2 linked regions of the Oryctolagus cuniculus genome follow. The main gene of each other region encodes a partner of the protein of the gene in region 2 in a complex. Links are inferred from orthologs where the notes say so. Each region holds a gene or a part of one and is shown on either strand. Other genes may lie near its edges.

Region 1 (12,472 bases), on a different chromosome or scaffold from region 2:
GCAAAAGACCCCGGGCGGGATCCTCAGACGCGCCAGGGGCCACGGCGAAGAAACCCCGGAAGTGCAGCCTGTGCCACCAGCCCGGACACACTCGGCCTTTCTGCCCTCAGAACAGATGAGGGCGGGGCGGGCCGGGGCGGGGACGGCGGGCGGCGCGGCTGTCCGGGGGCGCTGAGGAAGCGCTGGCCTCAGCGAGGAGGGGCGCGGGCTCCGACTCCGCCAGCAGGGGCTCAGCCGTGGCTTCCCGGGGTGAGGTGCAGAGCCCGGAGCCCCCGCATTGGCACATGCCCGAGCCGCAGCCGGCTGTGCCGTAGAGCCAGCGGCGCCCCCGGGGTGAGGAGCCGGCACCCCAACTGCTGCGGGAGGAGGGAAGGGGTCGTGCCTCGCCTCTGCAGAAGCAGCTTGGTCCCGCTTAGTCCGGAGGCCCGGACCGCCCAGTGGTTCACGTGCCTTAATAAAGAGTTCGAGCCCTTTTACCCCGGCCAGTGACGATGGCAGGCGTGACGGTGCCGTCGCAGCCGTGCTGGGCGCTCCTGTCCACCCCCAACCCTTCCTGCCACACAGCACTGGGCCCAGCCTCTCCCACCTCGCCGTGTCCACAGAGCAGAGAAGGTGCCTGGCGAGACTCCAGCGCTGACCGTCCATCTTCCTCCTGTGGCCACAGACCTCGTGAGAAACGACTGCTCTGTAGCTGGGGGGATGATCAGCAGGGGCTGCCGCCCGCCCGCTGGCCAGACCTGGAGCCGCCAGCAGGTCTCAGGATCCCGGCCCCGAACCCTGACGACGCACGTGGCTGGGTGCAGGGCAGGCGTCCCACCACGGAGGCTCTTGGAGGCGTCCTCCAAACACCTTGGCAGCTGCGGGTTGGGGCAGTGCGTTTGGGGTCCCCAGCAGCCGCCAGGCTCCCATCCATGTCTGTGGTTTACCTGGTCTGGGTCTTCTGTATCTGCAGCCACGTACGCGGGACCTGTTTCTAGCACCTTCCACGGGGCCTGCCGTTTGCAGGGTCCACATCGTGGCGTGGATCGGTATTTGTCACTGAGAGTCCCGTGTGTGCAGTGGTCCCTCTGTGGGTCCAGAGCTTCCGTGGTGCCTGAAGCCATGGGCGGTGCTGAGCCCCCGTGCCACATACGTCAGTCTGGTGACGTGCGCAGGTCGGGCACGGTGGGAGGTTCCCAGCGATAACTAGTAATGAGATATGGTTGCCGTGACAGAACTACAGTGAGAGGAGTGTGAGGGCGGCTGTGGCCTGCATCGCCAGCCCCTAGGGTGTTTGAGTCTCTTACACAAAGCAGTGGGACTGTGGGGGAGGCGGGACACTGTGGCGCCTGTTTGCCCACTTCTCGGTGGACAGTGGTGGTCTGCACCTGCCGCTGTGGGCGGTCGTGCACGGCTCTGTCTGCTCCTGTTGAGCACGCGCCCGGCAGTGGCATCGCTGGCTCCTGTGGCAACTTCCTGTTAACTTCCTGAGGAACTGTCTGATGCCCGGCCCCTCCCCACACCACGGCTGAGCCCCCGTAGCACGAGGACTCGGAGCCACACCTCCCATGTACAGCAGACAGGACGCGGCTGCCCCGCATTGCTGGTGGCTGAGGGGCTCAGCCCAGCCCTGTCCCCGATGGCTACAGCTGCAGGAAGTCAGGTCCCCTGCAGCGCCGTCCGAGACACTAGACAGGGACCACTGCCCTCGGGTGGACTCGCCAGCTTCTCCCAGGGCCTGTGGTGGCCAGGAGCTCAGGCCCGGATCCCACCCGACGTCGTGCAGGATCCGGGTTTGCTAGACTAGAACCCAGAGGTGGCCCCTGGTCTCCTTGCTCACAGGGTGTTGCCACCAGCCCCGTGAGCCACAGATCCACATGCCCCACGCCCTCCGGCTTGCCTGCCGCGGGAACCCAAGCCAGCCTCGTGAGCCTGGGAGTCCTGCGGCCGATGGCGTCTTGGGAGCTGCTGGACAGCACAGGAAGACCCCAGGCCACTGCCCAGTGACTGCGCCGTCCTGGCTCCACGCTGGGGCCTGTTACCGCGGCCTGCACTTCCTCCGGGAGCTACCTTTTAAAAATGGCTTTTTCTGATTCCGAAGGGAAGTGCCCTCATGAGAAATGGGAACATTACAGACACGAGGTACCAGGCTGAAGGCCCCCTGTTACAGAAACGGGAAAGGCGTGGAGCAGCCGCCAGGCCGCCCCTGCCTGGAACCCTGCCAGCCCTGGGGTCTGCACTCTGCCTGGCGTTGAGATGGCACTCGGGGTGAGCCACGCCCATGCGCTGCTGGTGATAGGATGGGGACGGCTCAACGTGGAAAATGCAGCCCAGTGACAGCAGGTGGACGTCGCTTCCCAGACCCAGCCGCCCCGGCTTCCTGCCACCCAGCCTCCCTCCTTGGAGGCTCGTTTGCTGTTTGTTAACTGTTTAATCCAGGTTTCCCCCAAGTATTTGAGCCACCACCTGCTGCCTCCTCAAGGGTGCATTAGCAGGAAGCCAGAGTCGGCTGCGCAGCAGGGATTTGGACCCGGGCACTCCCCCGTAGGATGCAGGAGTGAGACCTTCAGGACCTGCCTGCTGCTTGCTTTCCCTTCACCCCAGGGGCCAGCCCAGTGCAGAAGCTGCTCGCACGGACTCTCCCAAGGCTGGATTTCTGACAGCGCAGCTGGGAGCTGAACCGCACGGCTGCTCCAGGGGCACCCGAGGGCCCCACCTGAGGGATGGGCCTGCAGCTGAGCTCCCTCCAAAGGCCCACGGTGAGCCAGTGGGTGCCCAGACCACTTCCTGAGCTGTATGAGGGCAGGGACCTGGGGGTGGCCGCTTTCTAACTGCTCGCCTGCTCCAGGGGTCACCTGGGGAACCCGGGTGTTAGGATGCCCAGGCAGGTGCATGCGGGATTGTGCAGCTGAGCAGCCCGCCTCGCGCCTGTGTTGAGTGCAAGGTGACGGGGCCGGCGTTGTGGTGCAGCAGGTGAAGCCACTGCCTGCGACGCCAGCATCCCATAATGAATGCAGGGTCCCACTTCCAACCTGGCTTCCGGCTAATGCCCCTGGACAGCAGCAGCAGGTGAACATGGCCGCCCACGTGGCTTCTGGGCCAGGCCACTGGTGGCCTGTTTGGGGGGTAAACCAGTGGACGGAAGATCCGCCTCCCTCATTCTAACTCTGCCTCTCAAATAAATCCAAGAAAGATGGAGCTGGCTCTGGTGGCGGGCGGGAGGGAGGCGGCAGAAGCCAAGGCTGTGGGGCAGCTGCCCCTGTGCCCACTCCAGCGCCCGCACAGGAAGTGGTAGTAGTTCCCAGTTGACAGAGAAGACGGGCACAGGCTCTGTCCCCACACTGCTCCTGCACTCGCCCCGCTGCCCTTTGCCCCCAGAAAAACTGCCCGAAGCTGAACCAAGTGATTGGAACTGACCTCCCAACTAAGCCGGTCTCCTGGCCAAGGCCAAATCCACCCATCACCCTGCACTGGAGGTAGGCACAGCCATCCCACGTGACCCAACCACCACACACTTCCCCCTCCCCCACAGTCCCTTCTGGACAGAAGCAGGACGTTGGTACAGCAGGCCCTGGCGCCCGCTCCTATGACCCAGACCTTCCCCTGCCGTGCCAGCAACAGGAGGGGGCCCTGAGAGGGTCCCACGGGGCTGGGCCTGGTGCTCCCATAGACACTGGGGACCCCCCATACCCCCAGGAGCCGACAGCCACAAAGCAGCGTGTGAACCTATTCCTGCCTCGGAGGGCGAGAGCTAAGGCTTCTGTGAGTGGTACGCCAGCCAGTTCAGCAGCCGGCCCCTAGTCCCAGGCTCAAGCCCCACCTCCACTTCCGATGCAGCTTCCTTAGCCAGACGCTTGGGTCCCTGCCACCCACAGCGAGACCCGGATGGAGTTCCTGCCTCCTGGCCCCAGCTGTTGCAGGCATCTGGGGAGTGAACCAGCAGATACATAAATTATAAGCCAATAAATCACTAAATCCTACCCTCCTGCCTCTTAGGAAAGCGCCTGGCCCCACCCCCACGCGGCAAACCACGTATACAACAATTTCTCCTTTTATTGTTCACATTCTTCAAGGCATAGCTTTGCTCAGCAGGAAGGCTACCGGCGGCAGCAGGAGGGGTCCTGGGAGGGCAGATGCCCCCTCCAGCCCCCACCACACCCCGGCCATCTTCAGACTCACGGCACACAGCTCGGCTGAGGGTGGCTGGTTCGGGGCCCCACGGCGGGGGCGGGGCATGCCCCCCCCCGGCTCCAGCAGGGCCCCGCAGCACCCCCCTGGCGGAAGGAAGGGGCTTTCCCTGAGGTAGGGTCGGGTAGTGCATCAGGCAGCGCCAGCGCCAGGGCTGCAGGGGGCTCAGCGAGAAAACCGAGCCCGCGGCGTCCCTGCAGAAAATGCCACACACTTCAACGGCTCAGCCACCAGGGGGCGCCCAGGAAAGCCTCAATCACACTCAGCAGGAAGCGGAGCGGGCAGCCCCCGGCCAGGACGGCAGAGGGCTCCTTGCTGGTGATGACGGTCAGGGCCCAAGGTCAAGGTCCTCGGCTGGCCCTGAAAGGCCCAGGCACATTTGGGTGCCAGCGACTCAAGCCCCTGGGGCTCAAGGATCCAGACGGCCACAGGCCAGGCCTGCTCAGCGGAGCACCCTCTACTGTTCTGGCTGCAAGCAAGCACAAACAAATCCACTCCAAAGCCCACGTGACCACGGGACGGGAGGCGGGCGCGGTGCCAGGGGCCCTCCCGGGCCTACAGCAGCGCCTCGGGTGCCTGCAGGCCGCAGTACAGGGCGTAGCCCGCGTCGTCGATGTCCTGGTCCCGCAGGCCGGCCAGCAGGTCCACAGCGGGGTTGAAGTGGCAGGGCAGGCTGGCCTGCTCCAGGCTCTGGAGCAGCAGCTCCAGGGCCTGCAGGAAGCGCTCCCCCAGGGCCGCCTCGGTCCAGTCCACGTCCTGCTCCCCCGCCCGCAGGACCACCTGCGTCAGGGGCCCCCGGCCCAGGCGGGCCAGGGCGGGGTGGCCACGGCAGACGCCACATAGCAGCAGCAGCAGCCGCCGCCGGCTGCCGGCGTCCTGCTCATCCAGGGCCCGCAGTCGGGCAGCCTCCTTGGGGTACAGGTCGTGCAGCCAGAGGTTCCCAGCCAGCCCCTCCAGGGGCCAGGCCAGGAGCTGGCAGTCGGCGCCCGTGCCGGCCCCGGCGACGGCCAGGAGCACAGCCACGGTGAGCTCCAGGCGTTCGTGCCGCACCTCCAGCAGCAGCTCCTCCGAGGCCACGCTGGGCCGGATCAGGCACCCGAGCAGCCCGCTGATGGCCGGCCAGTTGACGGAGGCGGTGAGCGCCTTGCGCAGCAGACCCAGCAGGAGGCGGGAGGACAGGTAGCCGCCCACCAGGAAGCGGTCCCAGGGGCTGCTGCCGCGGGGGCGGAACTCCAGCTGAGTCCTGCGCACGGCCCAGCAGCGAGGGTCCCTGGCCACGGTGTCCACGCCGGGCACCAGGCTCCAGAGGCCCGGCTCCAGCGCCAGCGGCACCGAGAGGCGCACGTGGTCCTGGTCGGCGGCCCCGGCCTGCAGCCCGTCGTAGAGCGGCCCGCCGGGCACGAGGGCCCCAAAGGGCAGCTCGGGAAACTTGTTCCGCAGGTAGGCCTGCAGCTCCAGGGCGATGTCGCCGGCCAGCTGCTTGGCCAAGGCCACCTGGGCCTCGGGGATGGCCACGTGGGCCTGCTCGAATGCCAGCAGCTTCTCCTGGAAGGTCAGGCACAGCGGGGCCGGGGGGCTGAGCAGAGGCGGCGGCTGGGGACCGGCGTCCGCGGGCCCCTCTGCAGAGGCAAGGGGGACACGTCAGAGCAGCCCACAATGCACTGCGGGAACCCGACCGCATCCCAGCACCCTGGCCACACAGCTCCAACAGCCTGAGCAGGGACCCGGGCGCAGGCTCCGGCTCACCTGGCGTGGAGGGGGCAGGGGGCCGGCGTGGCTCGGGCAGGCTGAGGGCGGCAGGTGGGGGCCGGGGCTGCTGGTGCGGCGTGGCCTTGAGCAGGCTCAGCTCCGTCCAGCCGTCCCCCTTGGCGTCATCCTCGTCCCGGGGGCCGGTGGCCCTGTCGATGAGCTGCGGGCAGAGCGGCGCTGAGCAGGGCACCTGGCGGCCGGCAGCCATGACCAAGCCCCAGCCCCCGCCAGCCCGGCCTTACCCGCTTCACGGCCAGTGTGGCAATGCCCAGCACAGCCGCGCCGCCCACACCCAGCACCAGGCGGGCGTTGGCCAGGAGGAAGTCCACGGCGCCGCCCAGGCCCTCGCCGCCACGCCGCTTCCCCCGCTTCTGGGAGAACTCCGCCATGGTCCACCTGCAGGGGAGCCGGGGGCGCGGGGTAGCTGCGGGGTGGGGGTGGGGCGGGGAGGGCACCTGGCTGGGCAGGCACAGGGGCTCTGGGGTCCACAAGGAGGAGCTTCTGGAAGATTCCTCGTGAGTCAGGGGCTGCTAGCAGGGCTTCCTGCACGGAGCCGGGGGAGCAGCCACGACCCCTCCCCAAACCGGCCAATAACCCAGCCCCTGGCAAAGGGGGCTCACACGGAGGCCCCTGGCAGAGGGTCCGGGCTGCCAGGAGCCATCATGTAGAAGGGCATTGAGCAGGGAACTCCAAAGATGAAGACCCCAAAGAGAGGGCCCCCTGGCTGTGGCCGGCTCAGCACAAGGTCAGGGTAGGGGATGGGGGGGCAGGGCCTCCTGGCTGTGGCCGGCTCCTCAAGAGGTCGGGGCGGGGTCGGGGGGTGGGGGTTGGCTGCAGGATGCTAAGCCAGATGCAGGCCTGGAGCCACAGCCCAGCTGGTAGGAGGTGAGCAGTGCCCGAGTGGAGGCAGAGAAGGCCCACGCCCACCCTGACCTCGGGCCCTGAGGGTGCAGGGGACGGGTGGCCAAGGGCACCCGGGAGCCTCAGCGTTGGACGGCGAGGTCACGGCCCGCCCTCCTGCTGCGCCCTGGGTGCCCTGCCCCCCCACTGCCCGGGGCAGCTGGAGCCCGAAGCTCTGTGTGACTCAGCCCGGGACACCTGCCTCTTAGCGCCAGACTAAAAATAAGACGGGGCTCCGGCGTCCTGGGGGAGGTCACGGGCCAGCCGGCTGACCCCCGCGGCCCCGGCCACGGACCAGCGCTGCCATCGGCCCCCAGGCCTCCACGCTGCCAAGTGCGTAAAGCACTTGAAATGCCCACCCCTCCAGCGCACGCGCACCTGCCCCAGCGAGGGCTCCGTGCCACCTAAGGGGTGGGGGGCGCGCAGGAACCGAGCAGTTAAAAATAACCCGCAAGCCGCCGGCGCTGGGCCCGGGCTTACCAGGCCGGCGCGGCAGTCCCTCGGTGGGCCGGTTCACAGGCGAGGACAACGGAGGCCTTGGGAAACCCAGTCAAGCACCCGAGCCGGGAACGGCAGGGCCGGGACTCGAACTCGGGGCTCACAGGAATCCTCCCGGGCCCCGCCCCCGGACGTGCGCCACACCTAGGGCTGGGGGACCCGGGATGCGGGTTGTCGGGGAGGCCCCGCCGGGCTCCCAGCCGTACCTGCGTCGCGGCGTCCACACACCGACCGGACCACGCAGCGGGCCCGCCGGGACCCGGCGCCGGAACCCGCCTGCGGATGGAACGTGAAGGACCCGGGCCCCGAAGGCCGAGGCGCTGGCGTAGGCAGACGAGCAGGCCCTAGCTCCAATCGGAGCGCTCGGCTTCTTCAGGGGCGTTCCAAAACACTGCGAGGTTCGGCCAATGAGGGGCCTGCCACGCCCCTTCTCCGCCCTGCGCGCTCCCTCGGAGGCGGGGCTTTCCGGGGGCACTCCGGATTTAAAGGCGCAGGGCTGCATTATTGGGCCCGCAACGTTTGCGTGGTGCCTGCTTGGAGCCCACAGAGGCGCGGGGGATGCGTGCGCGTGTGCGTGTGTGATGTGAGCCTCCCGCGTGGAGGAAGCTGGCTGGGCCCCAGTTTCCTTCCTCTGGCCGGGCAGACGGGTGGTAGCACCTGGTCCAAAGGCCTGCACGCCGACCCCTAAGTCACCTTTGCGGGAGCGCCTTAGCACCTGTCTGCGCGCGGGGTAGGGGGTGTGCCGCCGGCCCCGTGCGTCCCTGGGCCTGCCCTCTGTCCGCCTGGGCCTCAGTTTCCCGTGCCGTACAATGGGGACGTAGGCAGCGCCCCTGGGAAGGGTGGTTTGCATGCGGGCCTTAATGAGAACCACCTGCCACGCACCAAGCACCTGCTGCGTGCTTCGAGCCGCACGTGCGCGCGTGGTCACTCGCTGCCGGCCACCACCTTGGTAGGGTGAGGAAGGTGGGGCCGCCCCGGCTCCGCACGGAGACCGCCGGGGACCCCTTGTGCGCGGACGCAGAGTGCGAGGCCCCCAGAGCGCAAGGCCCCCGGGCCCCGGCGAGGTCCCCAGAGCGCAAGGCCCAGGGCCCCGGCGAGGTCCCCAGAGCGCAAGGCCCCGGGCCCCGGCGAGGTCCCCAGAGCGCAAGGCCCAGGGCCCCGGCGAGGTCCCCAGAGCGCAAGGCCCCGGGCCCCGGCGAGGTCCCCAGAGCGCAAGGCCCAGGGCCCCGGCGAGGTCCCCAGAGCGCAAGGCCCCGGGCCCCGGCGAGGCCCGAGGTGCCGGCGGCGGCGGGCGCGGGCGGGTTAACGGGGCGGAGTCGGCGCTGGCCCAGCCCGCGGCTCCCGAGCCGCCCCCAGCGCCCGGCCGGCCCGGCAGCGAGAGCGGCGCCGCCATGGAGGCCACCGGGGTGCTGCCGTTCGTGCGCGGCGTGGACCTCAGCGGCAACGACTTCAAGGTGAGCGGCGATCCGGGCTCGGCGCGGGCACCACCTCGCCCGCCTCCGGCCACACTGCGGGCGGCGGCCGGGGCTCTGCGGGCCTCCCCACCGCAGCCCGCAGCCGGCACCCCGGGCCTCCGCCCAGCGTCCCCCCGCGGGAAGGCCGAGCCCGAGCGGCGCGGGCCCAGGCCGGGGGAGGGCGTGGGCGCTGCGGGCCTGCGCACCGCCGCCCCGGGGGTCTCACGGCCCAGCCGGCCGCTGACTCAGGGCCGCCGCTGCCTTGGCTGCCCAAGGGCGGGCCCGGAGGCGGCTCATCACCGCCCTGCGCTCCATCCTGTGTGGTCTTGGGCAAGTCACTTCCCCTCTCCCGGGCCTGGGTTTTTCTCATCCGGAGAAGGGACTCGAGTCTACCCTGCGAGTGTAGACTTGCGGTCTGGACGCTCTGGCTGGGGGGAGGTTCTCAATATGGGTAGGGGCGCCCAGAGCCAGAGCCAGGTGGGCGGGGCTTCCGGCCGGTGATGGGCAACCTCTGGCCTGTCCACTTAGGCGTCTCAGGGTGTGGGGCGGAGGCCGGCGGGCTCCTGTCCAGCCTGTGTTGTCCACATCTGTGCTGTCCCATCTCCGTTCCTCGTCCCGACCTCAGCCATCCCCACTTGGGGTCTCCACGCTTCTCCCCTGGGCTTGGGCGGGCCTGAGTCACCAGCTGGGAATGTGGCCGGTGGGGGGAGGGGCACAGCCCCTGGGCACTGGCTGCAGCGGCTGCCCCAGACTCGGCCACGAGGGCTGGGGGGGGGGTGTTGGGGAGGGGAACACGGGGAAGGAAGGAGGTGGCACCCACTCGGGCAGGGTTGGGAGAGGGGGACACAGGGCAGGGGACCTTGCTAGGAGTGGCCAGGGTGCTGAGGGTACGGGGTGGGGGTGGGGTCCCACAGCCCAGGCAGACCCAGAGTATGGGGCCCAGGAATTTGAGCTAAGCTCACCACACAATGGGGGGGCCAGGATATCCCCATTTTGCTTGGCCCCTCCTGGGGCTCAAGGGCAGTAGCAGAGACCCTCTTAGGCCTCCGCTCTGGCCCCTGGAGCCTCCACGGGTAGGGGAGGGGCTTGGGCCAGTAGGGAGGGCTCCCCTGGAGGGGGCGGGGCCTGTGGGGAGGATCTTGTGGTTGTTGAGAGTTGGCTGTGTGGCCTCCCTCAAATGTGCCCACGGGCAGGGGGAGCCCTCTCCCAGGCCAGCCTCAGCACACCCCCACCCCCACCCCAGGGTGGCTACTTCCCTGAGAATGTCAAGTCCATGACAAGCCTACGATGGCTGAAGCTGAACCGCACAGGCCTCTGCTACCTGCCCGAGGAGCTAGCCGCCCTGCAGAAGCTGGTGAGGAGGGGTGGGGTCTGTGGGGAGGAGGGGCGGGGCCTTGGGAGGATCTGGCAGACAGGGAGGGGATGAGCGCCCCGTCCTGGGAGGTGTGCAAGAAGCTGGGTCTGAGCAGGAAGGAGGCTGTGGGGGCGTCCTGGGCTGGCGCTGGCCGTCTGGGGCTGTGCAGAGCAGGGGTGGCAGGTGGGGACTGTGGATACCCCCGCCCCGCCCCACTGAGCCTCCGCTGCCCCGCCCTGGCACAGGAGCACCTGTCCGTGAGCCACAACAACCTCACCACGCTTCACGGGGAGCTGTCCAGCCTGCCTTCTCTGCGGGTGAGTGCGGCGGGTGCCGGACCCCAGGCAGGGCCCGGCCGGCTTCTCTGCCAGGCTCCGGGCTCTGGGGCCCTTTGTCGTGGGTGGACGTGGCGTGGTCCCTGTGGGTGGGGACAGCTCCACGGGTGCCAGGCATGCCGAGTGGACGTCCACGTCCCCCCATGCCTGACGGTGTCGCAGATGAGGACATGGCCACAGGCGCAGGTCACTCGCCCAAGGCCACACAGCCGGGCAGCCGAACAGCTGGAGTCGGGGGGGCGGGGTTTGGCCAGTGGGCGCTCTTCCCTGCTGGATGTTAGACTGCTGGCCGGGCCCTCGGAGCCTCAGGGAGGTGGCCCTGGCCCCGGCTGGAGCCTCAGCCCTGGGAGCTCCCCCGGAGCCAAGCCGGGCTCTGCCACTCCCAGCTGTGTGGCCTGGGACAAGTCCCTTCTGCAGATGGGGTGGCTGGGAGGGCCAGTGGGGACCCCGTGGGCAACCGCACAGCGCTGCGGAGGTGGCAGGGGCGGCCCCGGGGTCGCATGGGTCCCCGCTCTGTCCCCGACCTTAGGGAGGGAAGCATTTCCGGTCAGCCCACGTTGCCCTCTCTTCACTCCAGCCCCCTCCATCTGTCCTAGCCACCCTCACTCCAAACCGCACCCCATCTTCCTGAATGAACAGGAGGGGTGTCTGATCAGAAACATCTGGGGTTTCCGTGCTGGGCTCTGGGGCACATTTGGGTTTTGAAGCGTGAATAGGAGCTCACCGCGGGAGGCTGTAGAGCAGAGACAGGGCAGGCCCAAAGGGGCCCACCTCTGCCTCTGCCTCTGCCTCTTCCCGGGGCGGGGGGTGGAAGCCAGGAAGCAGGGACTCTCGTGGTCTACCCGCAGGCCATCGTGGCTCGAGCCAACCAGCTGAAGAACTCCGGAGTCCCTGACGACATCTTCAAGTTGGAGGACCTTTCTGTCCTGGTCAGTGGCTGCCCGCCCAGCTGCCCCCTGCCAGCCTCTTGGTCCAGTCCCCACCCATCGCGATGGCCCCTGGGCCCACTGTTAGCCCAGTTTACAGACGGGAAGACTGAGGCCGGAGCGGGCCTTGCCCGAGGTCACGCCTGGAGTCCCAGCCCTAGCCCAAACGCCCCTCTGCCCGAGGCCCCAGCCGCTTTGGCCCTGAGACCCCCTCATGCCCTGGCTCTCAGTGCCTTACCTCATCGCCAAGGTTGGCAGAAGCAGGGTGGGGGCGGGGACGCCCCGACCTGGGATTTGGCCCGTCTCCCTAGGACCTGAGCCACAACCAGCTGACCGAGTGCCCGCGGGAGCTGGAGAACGCCAGGAACATGCTGGTGCTCAACCTCAGCCACAACAGGTGCCCGGCCAGCCGCGCGCACGTGCCGGGGGGCGGGGGTGGGGTGGGGACGGGGCTGGAGGGCTGGGGCCGGGGACCTGAGGCCGGGGCTGGGCGTGAGTGTCCCCACCCCGAGGACTCAGGCAGCGCCGTCCCCCGCCCCGCCCACAGCATCGACACCATCCCCAACCAGCTGTTCATCAACCTCACCGACCTGCTGTACCTGGACCTCAGTGAGAACCGGCTGGAGAGCCTGCCCCCGCAGATGCGCCGCCTGGTGCACCTGCAGACGCTGGTGCTCAACGGGAACCCGCTGCTGCACGCGCAGCTCCGGTGGGCGCCCGGCTCGCTCCCCTCCCCGCCCCCGCCCCTGGGGTACACGGGGCGCCCCGCCCCTGCCCCTGACCGCCTGTGTGTGTCACCCACCCCTCCCCCAGGCAGCTCCCGGCCATGACAGCCCTGCAGACGCTGCACCTGCGCAACACCCAGCGCACCCAGAGCAACCTGCCCACCAGCCTGGAGGGCCTGAGCAACCTCGCAGGTGACCCCCCCACCCCCCGCGCCGCCTCCCGTGCTCAGACCCCACGCCCCCTCCCCTCCCCGGGAGAAGGGCACGGTTGCGTTGGGATTGTGGCTGTCCGTCTGTCACAGCCCTGGGGCCACCAGCAGCCGGTGCGGGCCCTTGGTGATCCACTCAGGCTGAGTGGCTTTGT
Region 2 (11,689 bases):
CAGTTATATTTTTCAACAGCTATGGAAGTTCTACAAATTGACAAGAGCCTCACTGCCTCTGTGTCCATCACATGCACGCTGTCCTCCAAATGCATCTGCACTACTGCTGTCCAGCCCAAAACACCCTCTCCTTCCCACCTTCCCACACCACTCAGCGCCAACTCAAACGTCACAAGTATGGTGCTCTCCCAGTCCTGAGACAAAGATAAATGGTCTCATCAGCATCCTAAACCTTGATTAGGTGGACAGATAACTGATCACCTGTTTACCAAACTGTCCATAAACGTGTGCACTTTTGAGATATGTATATTTTATAAGCTGTATTTAAATACTTAAAATAATTATACTGTCGCCACCTAATCAGGCCTCATGTTACCTCAACCTGCCTTACCCACTGTTGCTTAGACCTACTGTGGTAATATTCATTTCCTTATATATGGCATATATGAAATAACCATTCAGTATTTTATCTGTTAAATACTCTGTTTCTGGAGTTAACTCATGTGACAGACCATCTGCGTCACAAAATGGACACAGAACCACACACACACAGATGTGTGAGTGTAACGTGAAGTCTAAGTGCCATGGATTGTTCCAATGTCCATTTTCTTGCCGTGCTGTAGTGAGGTAAGTAAGGTGAGGTGAAGGGTGCATTTTATCATTTCTACAAAATGGTCTTCCTGTTTGCTAGCTTAGTAGTCAGATAATCTGAGTTAAATGTCACTTGAACAAACAAACAAAAGGATCCAGCAATCCAGGTACCCAAATCTACAGAAAAATGTCTTACTTACAGCTCTGAAGTTTCAATATATTTTGCTGTTCCTTCAATAGTGTTACAGTATTCTGTGGCAAATTTGGTAATAAGCTGGAGTAAAGTAGCACTTTTGTCATCCACAGGCTCCCCATAGCTGTTCAGGAGAGACTGGTACTGAGCAGCTAGAACGTTTATTCTTGTTTTCAGCTCTGGCAAGCAATCTCGGATGTGATGCATCAGCAGCCTAACAAACATCAGAGAGAGGGTTTTAAAGTGTGAGTGTGTATTATGAAGCCCCAAACAAGTCTTACTGTTAAAATGCAAACATTGGGAAAAACTCGTTAAATCATTTGTCTTGGCAGGTGTAGTGTTACAAAGTATGTATTTAGCTTTTCTGAACATTTCCTGGCACTCATCTCCTAAAATCCTTGGAATCTCCAGAGCCATGAGTGTTTCTGTAAAGGCATCAGATGACTTGTGGCCGGGGCCCCCGGAGAGCTTCAGGATGGGGGCTGGTCACGAGAAAGCCCAAGGCAGGAAGGAGCAGTGGTCAGCCCCACTCTCCAAACTCTGGGGAGAGGACAGAGGCTGAGGGTTGAGCTCATTCCCACAATAGCCAATAATGTGATCAACCATGTGTGTGGATGCAGCTTCCAGAAAAACAAAAAGGACAGAGCACATGAAGCTTGTGGGCAGATGAACACACGGAGCTTTCTGAGCATGATGTGCCCAGAGAGGGCACGGAAGCTTCAGGCCCTTTCCCACAGGCCTTGCCCTGTGCATCTCTTCCGTCTGGCTGTTCGTTTGTATCTTTTCTAATATCCTTTAAAAAATGTGTAGAAATACATTTTAGGGTTTATAAAACTGCCCACATATGTTGTATGCCTTATAACTATTTATAAAGCTGACCATATGTATTATATGCCGTTGTCTAGATATATATTAATATATATAATTATAATTTTACCACCTAATCAAGCTCAATGTCCCCATCCTCAAGTCAAACTTGCTAATAAGATCACGGAAAACCCAGTTCATAGCCCATCGGTCAGATGCACAGGCCGCAGCCCGTATTTCCACTAGTGTCTCAAGTGCAGGCAGCCTTCTGGGACTGAGCACCCAGCAAAGGCATGTGATGCTGTCTCTAGGGAAGCAGAGTCAGACTGAATTAAATTAGAAGATACCCAGCTAGAATCCACCGGAGAACTGAGTATTTAGTGTACTGGGGAGAAACCCACAGATCTCATGTCAGAAGCATCCTCTGCTGTGTGAGAACAGGATGGAAACACTCTTCTAGATTTTTCCTATTTCACATGCGCAGGAAATACTGCAGTCTTAGATTAGGGTAATAAATACTTAGTCTGAAAAAAAGTGGCACAAAGGAAGCTGTTTTGGTCATTCCTTTTAAATTTGCCTTTGACCAATCAAATTATACCAAATGCTAGAGAACCAAATATATACTTTAAATAAGCAAATTATTTTCATATTATTGCATTTACCACAAAGAAAGTAAGCTATTCGATCCAAAGCTACCTATTTAATTTGGGTTTCATTGACTTAACTTCTGCCATGGGTAGCCAATATAGTGAAAATCAGTATTCCTAGGATCCAGATACCTAAGCCTTTAATTTAGGGAAAAGATTTAAGTAAAAGAAGTGACTTTCACTTCAGTCATTTGTAAATCGTCTAGAAAAATCTTCTAGTCCCTACACCTACAACTTAAATTATTTCTACTATGAATAGAAACAGAAGACATTCTAAATTTAAAAAGGATGATGTGAAAATTAGACACTTTAATTCAGTCCCTGAAATTCAGTCATATGCTATCTAGTTCTATCCTGTAATCATCAAAATAATCAGAACTCATCAAAAATGTCATAATTACAACATTTAAAATTCACTTAAGTGTTCTAGAGTACAGGACGATTTAATGTCTGCCATCCCAATAAAAATAAAAATAGAGACGTCTGATTTCCAAGAACCTATTACACAGAATCCAAAAGTGAAACCATAAGGAACCCAGGATGGAAATGCAGGGAACTGAAAATGCTTTGTAAATCTCAAGTACCTGCTGGCAAAACAAGAACATCTCATTTGCAAAAGGTAAAAAAATGTTACCTGTTCAGAGTCCTGGCAAGATACTTTGTCCCGTTTCTATTGGCCAGAGACGGGTATTTCTTTTGAAGAAAAGCATATTCATCACGGATTGAGTCAGTTACACTCTTCTTATTGTTAATGTCTAGCTGGCTCCTAGAGTTGAAAAACAACAAAACTATTCAAGTCAAGTCAACTGTTGTCCTCTCATCCTGTTTTATGATGAAAGGGATGACAGTAATGTTAACACTAGGCTTTGCTCCCTGATACATGACATGGGTTATTCTATTTAATTCTCAGAATCATTTCTCGTGATAGGTACCACCCTATTTTACAACAAGCCAGGATTCAGACCATGTGACTTACAGCAACTGGTGCATGCATAAGCCTCATTATTAACGGCAGCCAAGAGCAGTACAGGCACAAAAATGGAAATGTATCTTAATCAACTGTGTATTTCATCCATGGACAGGTAACTAATACCAAAAATAATTAATTCAAATTGAAGAGTGATCATCTATAAATGTAACCAACAGTATTATGCCAACCGCTTGCCTGAAAGGGAAGTTGGAATGGGGAGCAGACGGATGGGGAGGTGAGTAGGGATAAGGCGGAAAGATATGTGAATAAGTAGACAACAGCAATAGATCTTAGGTATTGCTTAGCAAAAAAAAAAAAAAAAAAAAAAAAAGCTTAAGACCCACAGATGTTAGGAGTCATTTAAACCCATATTACATGTCCATCTGGTTTGTACAAGGATTGGGAACAGCAGCCATGTCTCAAGATTACCTACCATGTAAAGACTTCGGGCTAAGAGCATCATCTAAATCCAGCTCTACTCTTCACTAGCCATTTTCCTTTGGCAAATATGTAACCTGAGTGTTCTGATTATAAAGTAGACAGCAACACCCACCTCACAGAGTGCTGCGAGAGTTCAAAGGGACACCATTTGGAAAATGCTCAGAGTGTCTAAAACCTAGACACTTCATAATAGTTTCCTTCTCTATAATTATTAAAACTAGCTATTTATAATAGGATACTTTTAATAAAAATTGCTCTAAATAATATCCTGGCAATTATACAAAATCCAATCTAATCCTAGTGGTAGGAGTTAAATGAATTTATTCACATCCTTCCACCTTAAATTCTGTCCTCATTGGGAACAAACTGGTAACACTTTTTTTCCTTGCCCAGTGCCCTTCTCATACATAACTGAACTTAACAGGCAACAACTCTTCAAGTCTGGCTATTAAATTGTCTTCCATTTTGTGATGCTTTGTTTAGAAAATATTTTCCATTATAAATATCTAGAGGAAGCTTTTCCCTTTAGAGCAATCAATTCTTTAGCAATGCCAACAGTATAGTAAAAGGAGGGGAAAATAAAACAATATCACATTTCTGACCCGTTTTAGAAATGTAGGCTTGCTTTGAAATGATAGTACTGCAATTCTTATTGCATTTTTGAATGCTAACCTGTTTACTACTCCAATTATTCCAAGTTTGACCGGAATAACCCTTCCCATCAATACATCCATGGCATCAGTGCCTGCATCCATGAGATCAAGTTTAGTGATTACAGCTAGGGTTCTGCGACCTGATAAATGCAAAAAAAAAAAAAAAAACCGAGAAATTAATCCATTAAATAAAGCCACTAAGTATTATTAATCACAAAAAATTCTCATCTACAATTCCACTTTAATCTGTCATCATTTTAGTAATCCTTTTATAACCTTTGCTTACAAGCACTACAATTTGAAACGTACGATATAAAAATCTGTTTGCCCATATAATTCTGTATTACCTTTTAGGACAGACTTTCTTATATGTATTTCTAGAGTGTGTTCAGAGTTTACTGTGTTGGTGTATAGTTGAGTTCTGACAAATGCAAACAGGCGTGTCACCACCACCTCAAGACAGAGCAGTTTTACTGCCCCTCAAATGTTCTTGTACTAACCAATCAAACCTGTTATCCATGCCTAACCTTTTTCTAGAATGCTCTATAATGCAATCATATAGCACACAGCCTTTGACTATGGCTGTTTTGTTCAGCATAACGCAGTTGAGAGTCACCTGTGTTGCTGTATCGGTAGTTCATTCTTTTTATTGCTGAGGAGTGCTTCATTGCATGGATGTACTGTGATTTTGGTTATTAGCTCCCCACTTGGGAGATATGTCTAGTTTCTAGAAATTATAAATACAGCTTCCATGCATATTTGCATACTAGCTTTTAAATGAACACAGGTTCTCATTTAACACAGGTAAATACCAAGAATCAGATTGTTGAACTAAAACTTCACAGAAATTGCCACACGGTTTCCTAAAGCGGCTATACCACCTGCTCCAGCAATATACAAGAGTTCTAACTGCTCACAGTATGAGGTTTTACATAGGGCATTTTTCAGTAACAAGCACCCTTCCTAAACTTCATTATCAATTCCTCAGTCCTTCGACGGCCATATTAGGTTAATTTAATTTTTTTTATTTATTTGAAAGACAGAGTTACAGAAAGAAAAGGGAAACAAGGAGAGAGCGAGCGAGCTTCCATCTGCTTGTTCACTCCCCAAGTGGCCACAACAGCCTGGAATAGGTCAAACCGCGGCCAGGAGCCTGGAACTCCATCCAGGTATCCTACATGAGTGGCAGTGAGCTGGATGAGAAGTGCCAGCATTACAGGCAGTGGCTCTGCCTGCTGCACCACAACACCGGCCCTTGGTTTAATTTTTTGATACTGTAAATAATACTATTGTTAACTATGTATTTCCAGATTGACAATTACCAGATCAGAAGTATGACCATATCTGTGGTGAAAGGGTCAGTTTAAAAGTGCTAATTCAGGGTCGGCTCTGTGGCGTGGTGGGTTAATCCAACGCCTGCGGCACCGGCATCCCATATTGGCGCCGGTTCTAGTCCCGGCTGCTCCTTTTCCAATCCAGCTCTCTGCTGTGGCCTGGGAAAGCAGTAGAAGATGGCCCAGGTCCTTGGGCCCCTGCACCCACGTGGGAGACCCAGAAGAAGCTCCTGGCTTCTGACTGGTGCAACTCCAGCCCATTGTGGCCAACTGGGGAGTGCACCAGCAGATGGTAGACCTCTCTCTCTCTGCCTCTCCTTCTTTTCTAATTCTGACTTTCAAATCTTTAAAAAAAAAAAAAAAAAAAAAAGTCAACCATCCAGGAACAAATGTTAGGGTACACCAGGTTAAGCTGCTGCTTGCGATGCTCATGTCCCCTGTCAGAATGTGTAGCATCAAGTTCTACCACCTCCTCCTCTTTTTTCTTTTTCAAGATCACTTATTATTTGAAAGGCAGTGTGTCAAAGAGAGATCTGCTGGTCACCAACAGTCAGGCTGAAGCCAGGAGCCCGAAATTCTGTTCTTGTCTTCACATGGTTGGCAGGGGCCTGAGTATTCTGGCTATCTTTTGCCTTTCTAGGTACACAGCAGAGAGCTGGATCAGAAGTGGAGCAGGCCAGGATTCAAACCGGCACTCCTAAAGGGGATGTCAGCGGAAGCTTAACCCAACTTTGCCACGGCACCAGCCCCTCTCTTCCAATGCACCTTCTTGCTAATCAGTCTGGAAGGCAGCTGATGGCTTTAGTGCTTGAGTGTTTGCCACCCAGGTGGAGACCAGGATGGAGTTCCTGGTGCCTAGTTCCAGCATGGCCCAGTCGTAGCTCTTGCAAGCATCTGAGGACTGTGCCAATGATGGAGGATCTTTCTCTTTCTCTCCTCTCTCTTGCCGCTGCTGTCTCCCAAATTAAAAAAAAAAAAAAAAAGCTTTTTAAAAAATGTCAGCATTGAAGGCTGGAGTTGAGCTAGTTGGTAAAGCTGCCACCGGCAATGCCAGCATCCCACATGGGTGCCAGTTCTGAGTCTCGGCCGCTCCATTTCCATTCCAGCTCCCTGCTATCATGCCTGGGAAAACAGTGGAAGATGGACCAAGTATTTGGGCCCCTAAAACCCCTGTGGGAGACCCAGGTGAAGCTTCTGGCTTCTGGCTTTGGATAAGTCCAATTCCAATTGTTGCAGCCATTTGGGGAGTAAACCAAATGGAAGATAAATCTCTCCTGCAAATAAATAAATATTTTTTAAAAAAAGCCATTCATAAACCTAAATCATTATATTTATACCTCTTAGGAAACTTTTTGTTTTAAAGGTATTTTATTATTTAAAGTCATTAGGGGTAGGAATCTGATCTAACAGTTAAGATGCAGCTGGGACACTTGCCGTATCTCTGCCTGGCTACCAGTCCCAGCTCTACTCCAGCTTCCTGCTAATTCACACCTGGGGATAGCTGAATTCTTACCACCCATGTGGAAGACCTGGACTGAGTTCCCAGCTCGCTGCTTCAGCCTGGCTGAGTCTCACCCAGTGCAGGCATGTGAGGAGTGAACCAGTGGATGGGACGCTCTCTCTCTGTCCACTTCTCAAATAAAAGGTAACCATTAAAGATACAGACATTATGTGAATTATTTTTGCCTAGCCTGTACAGCAACTTGACAAACTTATTTTTCATCAGAATTTCTATTTGAAATTATAAGCAAAGTAGGAAAGCATTCCTTTTTTAAACTCTGTATTAATAACTGGAAATATTCCTTTTAAAAATAGAAATTCCTTTCTTGAGATTTATCATTGTCAATCAAGCATCTAATTAAATATTAACACCTATCCTTACCGTCTGGATCTACCTCTCTTGAAATTTTCAGGGCCTCTGATGTCGCCATATCTGTATTAGCAGCAGTGACAGCGAGAATAATGGAATTGGGATTGCTGATGAAACGAAGAATGAGCTCTCGGATCTGAAGCTCAATATCCTTAGGTTGATCACCTACAGGCACCTAAACCAAACAGAGATGAGCAAGGAACTAATAATAAAATCAACTCAGCAACCCCCCCCCGTCATTAATTTACAAATTACAGGTTATTTCTCTATTTGCAAACTGTTAACATAATGAAATTAATGATACTACAGGGGTATGCATGAATTTGGTTAATGTGTGAAACAGCAAAATTTAACTATTGCAAGTATCCAAAGTTGACCAACATGATCCCATGTGAAGGACTAGTCAGTGCTAACTGCCTGAGAGACAACTCCATTCAGTTATCCCAGGTCTACTGATGGCCTACCATGCTTCGGGTCCTTTTCTACATGTCAGAGTATAATACAGCAGTGAATCTAAAACAGACCAACCGTTCTGCCTTCATAAACCTGTGTTGTAGTGATTACAAATACTCATAGTATCCAGGTGGTAGAATGGGCTATAATAAATACAACGGTAGACTCTGCAGGGATGATCTGAAACTGGGTTGTTACCTTTGAGAGAATGACAGAAAGTGAAGATGGAAAGGGAAGGGCACACGCAGGTGTCTGGGAAGGAAGTCCCAGGCGGGGTGACAGCAGGCAGGAGCATGGAGCAAGAGTCAGAAGAAGAGCATGGAGACACCAAATAGACACTTAGATTTCTGTAAGAACTCGGGCTCCTACTCTGAGTGGAATGGGAGGCTACTGGGGCGAATTTTTAGCGAGGATGGACACAGTCTAATGTTTAATACCATCACTCTGGCTGCTTAGTTAAGAACAGGCAGATAATGAGAAAGAGCTGTTATTTATTTGCTTGTTGTACCAACCAAACCAGGTGAATTGACACTGGTCTAATGAGACACAGTAGCATTCTGGGTGTCCTGTACAGGTGAGGACAGCAAAGAGGGCATGCTGACAGGAAGTGTAATGCAGAATAAAAAGCATAAGGATGACTACAAATTTTGGCTAAGCAATTGGTAGAAGGGAGTTGTCATTTATTGAGAGGGGAGAAGATTAAAAAAGGGTCAAATCTAGGAATTTGGTATCCAACTTGTCAGATCTATAACGCTTACAAGACACTTAAGTGTACAAGGGTACTTCAAAAAGTTCATGAACATGAAATTTAAAATGTTACTTTGGTGTGTAAGTTTTTCAAATCAATGTGCAGTTTTTCTTAATACACATTTTCTACAAACTTTTTGAAGCTTTTTATCTGTCAAGCAGACAGATATACAAATATCTGGAGATACTTGAATGCCATCAACATACAGAACCTTAAGTATTTTAAAGCCACAAGATCTGAAGAAATCATGTAGGGGACGGAGTCCAAAAACTGAGCTATGGGGCACTCACTGTTCAGACAATGGGGAGATGAGAAGAAATCAACAAAAGAGACTGAAAGAAGTGGCCAGTGAGCTTGGAGATAAACCGGAAGAGTATGGTATCCTGGAAGCCAAGTAGAGAGAGTGTTTCAAGGAAGGCTCAGCTCTATCAAATGCTTCTAACAGGTAAGTGTGACTGCAAAAAGAAGCTGGTTATTCTCACCCGGGGTTAGGGAAAAACCACAATGTTTCAAGCAAAAATTAACATAACCAAAATCACAATGAGTAACAATGACTCCTTACCTTGGTCATTCCGGGCAAATCCACAAGTGTCAAATTGACAACGTTGGGTGAAAAGATCTTAAGATGAATTGGTTCAGGGCTTACTCCCTAAAAGTAAAATATATATTAAAATTATATTAACAATTCAATGAAGAATGCAATACTGTAGTAAATCTCATTTCAAGCAAACATTACATCTTTTTAAAAATGTATTACATTACAATCTATAAAACGTTTTAAAAATCTAAACCTGTTGAAATACATGGGACATAAATCAGCTGGGTTATAATACTACTGAACCCCATACCAATAATAAGAACAATTTATTTCCCCTGTATTAGTTTGGTTTCTTTTCTCTTGATTCTAAGCATGTATCATTTCTTAAATATGTTTAATACAGTGCTGAACAAAACAACATATTTCTCACTATCCAAATTTAAGAGGTCCCAGAGGTTCAGACAAGGAAACACAGGTAAATTATTCAATTAAATTTGATGGGGTAGATGGGCGGGCGGGCGGACATTTGGAAAGATGGTTAAATCAAATTGCTTGGGACATCTGTATCCCATATCTAAGTACCTAGTTCAAGCATCCAGCTCCCTGCTAATGTGCACCCTGGGAGGCAGCAGGTGATGGATCCCTGCCACCCATGTGGGAGAACCAGACTGAATTTCGGGCTCCTACTAGCTGTTGCAGGCATTTGAGGAGTGAACCAATACATCAAAGATCTACATCTGTTTCTCTGTCTTGTAAATAAAATGAAAATACACAATTTTTGAAAGGGTTATTGCATAGTGAGGTTGTTTCTTGTGCTACAAAAAGGGGGAAGGGATCAATTCGGTTCTTGATCTTTGAATATCAAGTGGCAACACTAGTGTGATAAGAGATTTCTAAGGAAATACATCTGGGCTGGTGCTTCCGTGTCTATCCACAGTGCTCCAAGTCCTCGTGCAGAGCCCCTGGAGTACACGTTTCGGGCCACTCATGTGCCCAGTCCGTCCAAGGTGGTTGCATTCTCTCCATTACTGAACTGAGAGGGGGACTGTGCTGCTTGGATGAAGCTTGTGGGATTTTTGGTGAAACTGAGTGATGAAAGTGTAACCACTGCACTGAAGAATGGGACACAGGTCCATGGAACAACCATGGGTGCAGATGCCAGCATGAACACATACCTTGAAGCTGTGAAAATGACCCAGAGGAACAGAAACCTGTACAGCTAGATACACGGAGTTAGAGGAAATGCCATTCCCCAATTTATTCTACCAGACCGCTTCCCTCTGAGCACCCTTCACAGGGATGCTAAACTTAAGGTAAAAAAAAAAAAATTTTAAAGATTTATTTTACCTACTTGAAAAGCAGAGTTACAGAGTTAGAGACAGGGAGAGACAGCGAGTGAGAGGTCTTCTATCATGATGCTGGTTAACTCTCCATATGGCCATGACGGCCTGGACTGGGCCAGGCTGAAGCCAGGAGCTTTTTCCAGGTCTCCCCCTTGGGTGCAGGGGCCTGAGCATTTGGGCCATCTGCTGCTTTCCCAGGGGCATTAGTAGGGAGCTGGAATGGAAGTGGGGTTGCTGAGACTGGAACAGCTGCTCTGGCACAGCAGTGGGCCCCCAGGGTGAAATCTAAGAAAAGGGGAGGTACTGCAGGAAGAGGTCGAGGAGAGGAAGGGGACTCAGCCACAGCAGAGAGAGGGTCCGAGGTGATGATGTCTCTCCAGATTACTGTGTGAGTGATGAGCAATTTGTGATTTTATGTTTCTTGTACGGGTTTTGTCACTTTTTAATAAACATAAATGTTGGACAGAAAAAAAAAATGTACCTGAATCATTAGGGCCCTGAATTAAAAGTCAAAATTCGGATGGTGAGAGATCACCTTTAATTTTTTCTTCTGTAGACTAGATTTAGATTATTACAGACTCCCCCCTCCTTTTCACCATGGGCCCTTTATAAATTTTAGGACTGAGTTAGCCAGATATTAAGATACCTAAGAGGCAGGCATTTGGCCTAGTGATTAGACTCTGGTTAGGATGTCCATGGAGTGCCTGGTTCCGTTTCCAGCTCTGGCAGCTGACTCCGGCTCCCTGCTAACACACACCCTGAAAGGCAGCAAGGACAGCACAAGTGACTGGGTTCCAGCCACCCAGGTGGGAGGCCTGAACTGAGTCTGGCTCCTAGCTTCAGGAGCCTGTAGCGACCTGGCTTCAGCCTGTCCCTGGCTCTGGCCCCATTACTGCAGTATGTGAGGAGCGAACTAGTGGAAGGTGGCTCACCTGCTCTTGCCCTCTCTCTCTGCCTCTCAAATCACACAAAGGGGAAACAGACACTGAGATGTTCCTACCTTGTCTTGGTACCCACTCTCTTATCCTTTAATCTGTCCTCTTGTCTATTTATCCACTGTAAACTTCCCCTCTTTAACCCACTGAACATTTTAATTTCCCC

The links.
Region 1: the proteins of DNM1L (region 2) and MIEF2 are in contact, whole or in part, in a cryo-EM structure (PDB 5WP9), measured with the Homo sapiens proteins. The link is inferred for Oryctolagus cuniculus from reciprocal best matches to the Homo sapiens genes DNM1L and MIEF2. Residues at the interface, in NP_036192.2 of Homo sapiens: Asp190, Met191, Ala192, Thr193, Ser194, Leu197, Lys198, Ile199, Arg201, Glu202, Gly223, Thr224, Asp225, Asp228, Arg233, Val234; in NP_631901.2 of Homo sapiens: Val213, Asp214, Thr215, Val216, Arg218, Arg226, Leu230, Arg235, Val245, Gly246, Tyr248.

What each region holds. Positions count from the first base shown.
Region 1 is NC_091448.1:62,259,369-62,271,840, forward strand, and holds MIEF2 (mitochondrial dynamics protein MID49), read right to left. Parts: upstream 7,677-12,472; 5' UTR 7,521-7,676; exon of another isoform or gene 7,297-7,520; intron 6,313-7,296; 5' UTR 6,306-6,312; coding exon 6,159-6,305; intron 6,077-6,158; coding exon 5,914-6,076; intron 5,787-5,913; coding exon 4,723-5,786; 3' UTR 4,015-4,722; downstream 1-4,014. Other genes in the region: TOP3A (DNA topoisomerase 3-alpha), read left to right, coding at 1-119; FLII (protein flightless-1 homolog), read left to right, coding at 8,706-8,768, 10,012-10,122, 10,368-10,439, 11,306-11,386, 11,695-11,780, 11,931-12,092, 12,197-12,300. UniProt on the Homo sapiens protein: Mitochondrial outer membrane protein involved in the regulation of mitochondrial organization.
Region 2 is NC_091440.1:128,779,220-128,790,908, reverse strand, and holds part of DNM1L (dynamin-1-like protein), read right to left. Parts: intron 10,574-11,689; exon of another isoform or gene 10,183-10,573; intron 9,721-10,182; exon of another isoform or gene 9,649-9,720; intron 9,357-9,648; coding exon 9,270-9,356; intron 9,153-9,269; exon of another isoform or gene 8,837-9,152; intron 7,682-8,836; coding exon 7,519-7,681; intron 4,443-7,518; coding exon 4,322-4,442; intron 3,005-4,321; coding exon 2,873-3,004; intron 999-2,872; coding exon 792-998; intron 1-791. UniProt on the Homo sapiens protein: Functions in mitochondrial and peroxisomal division.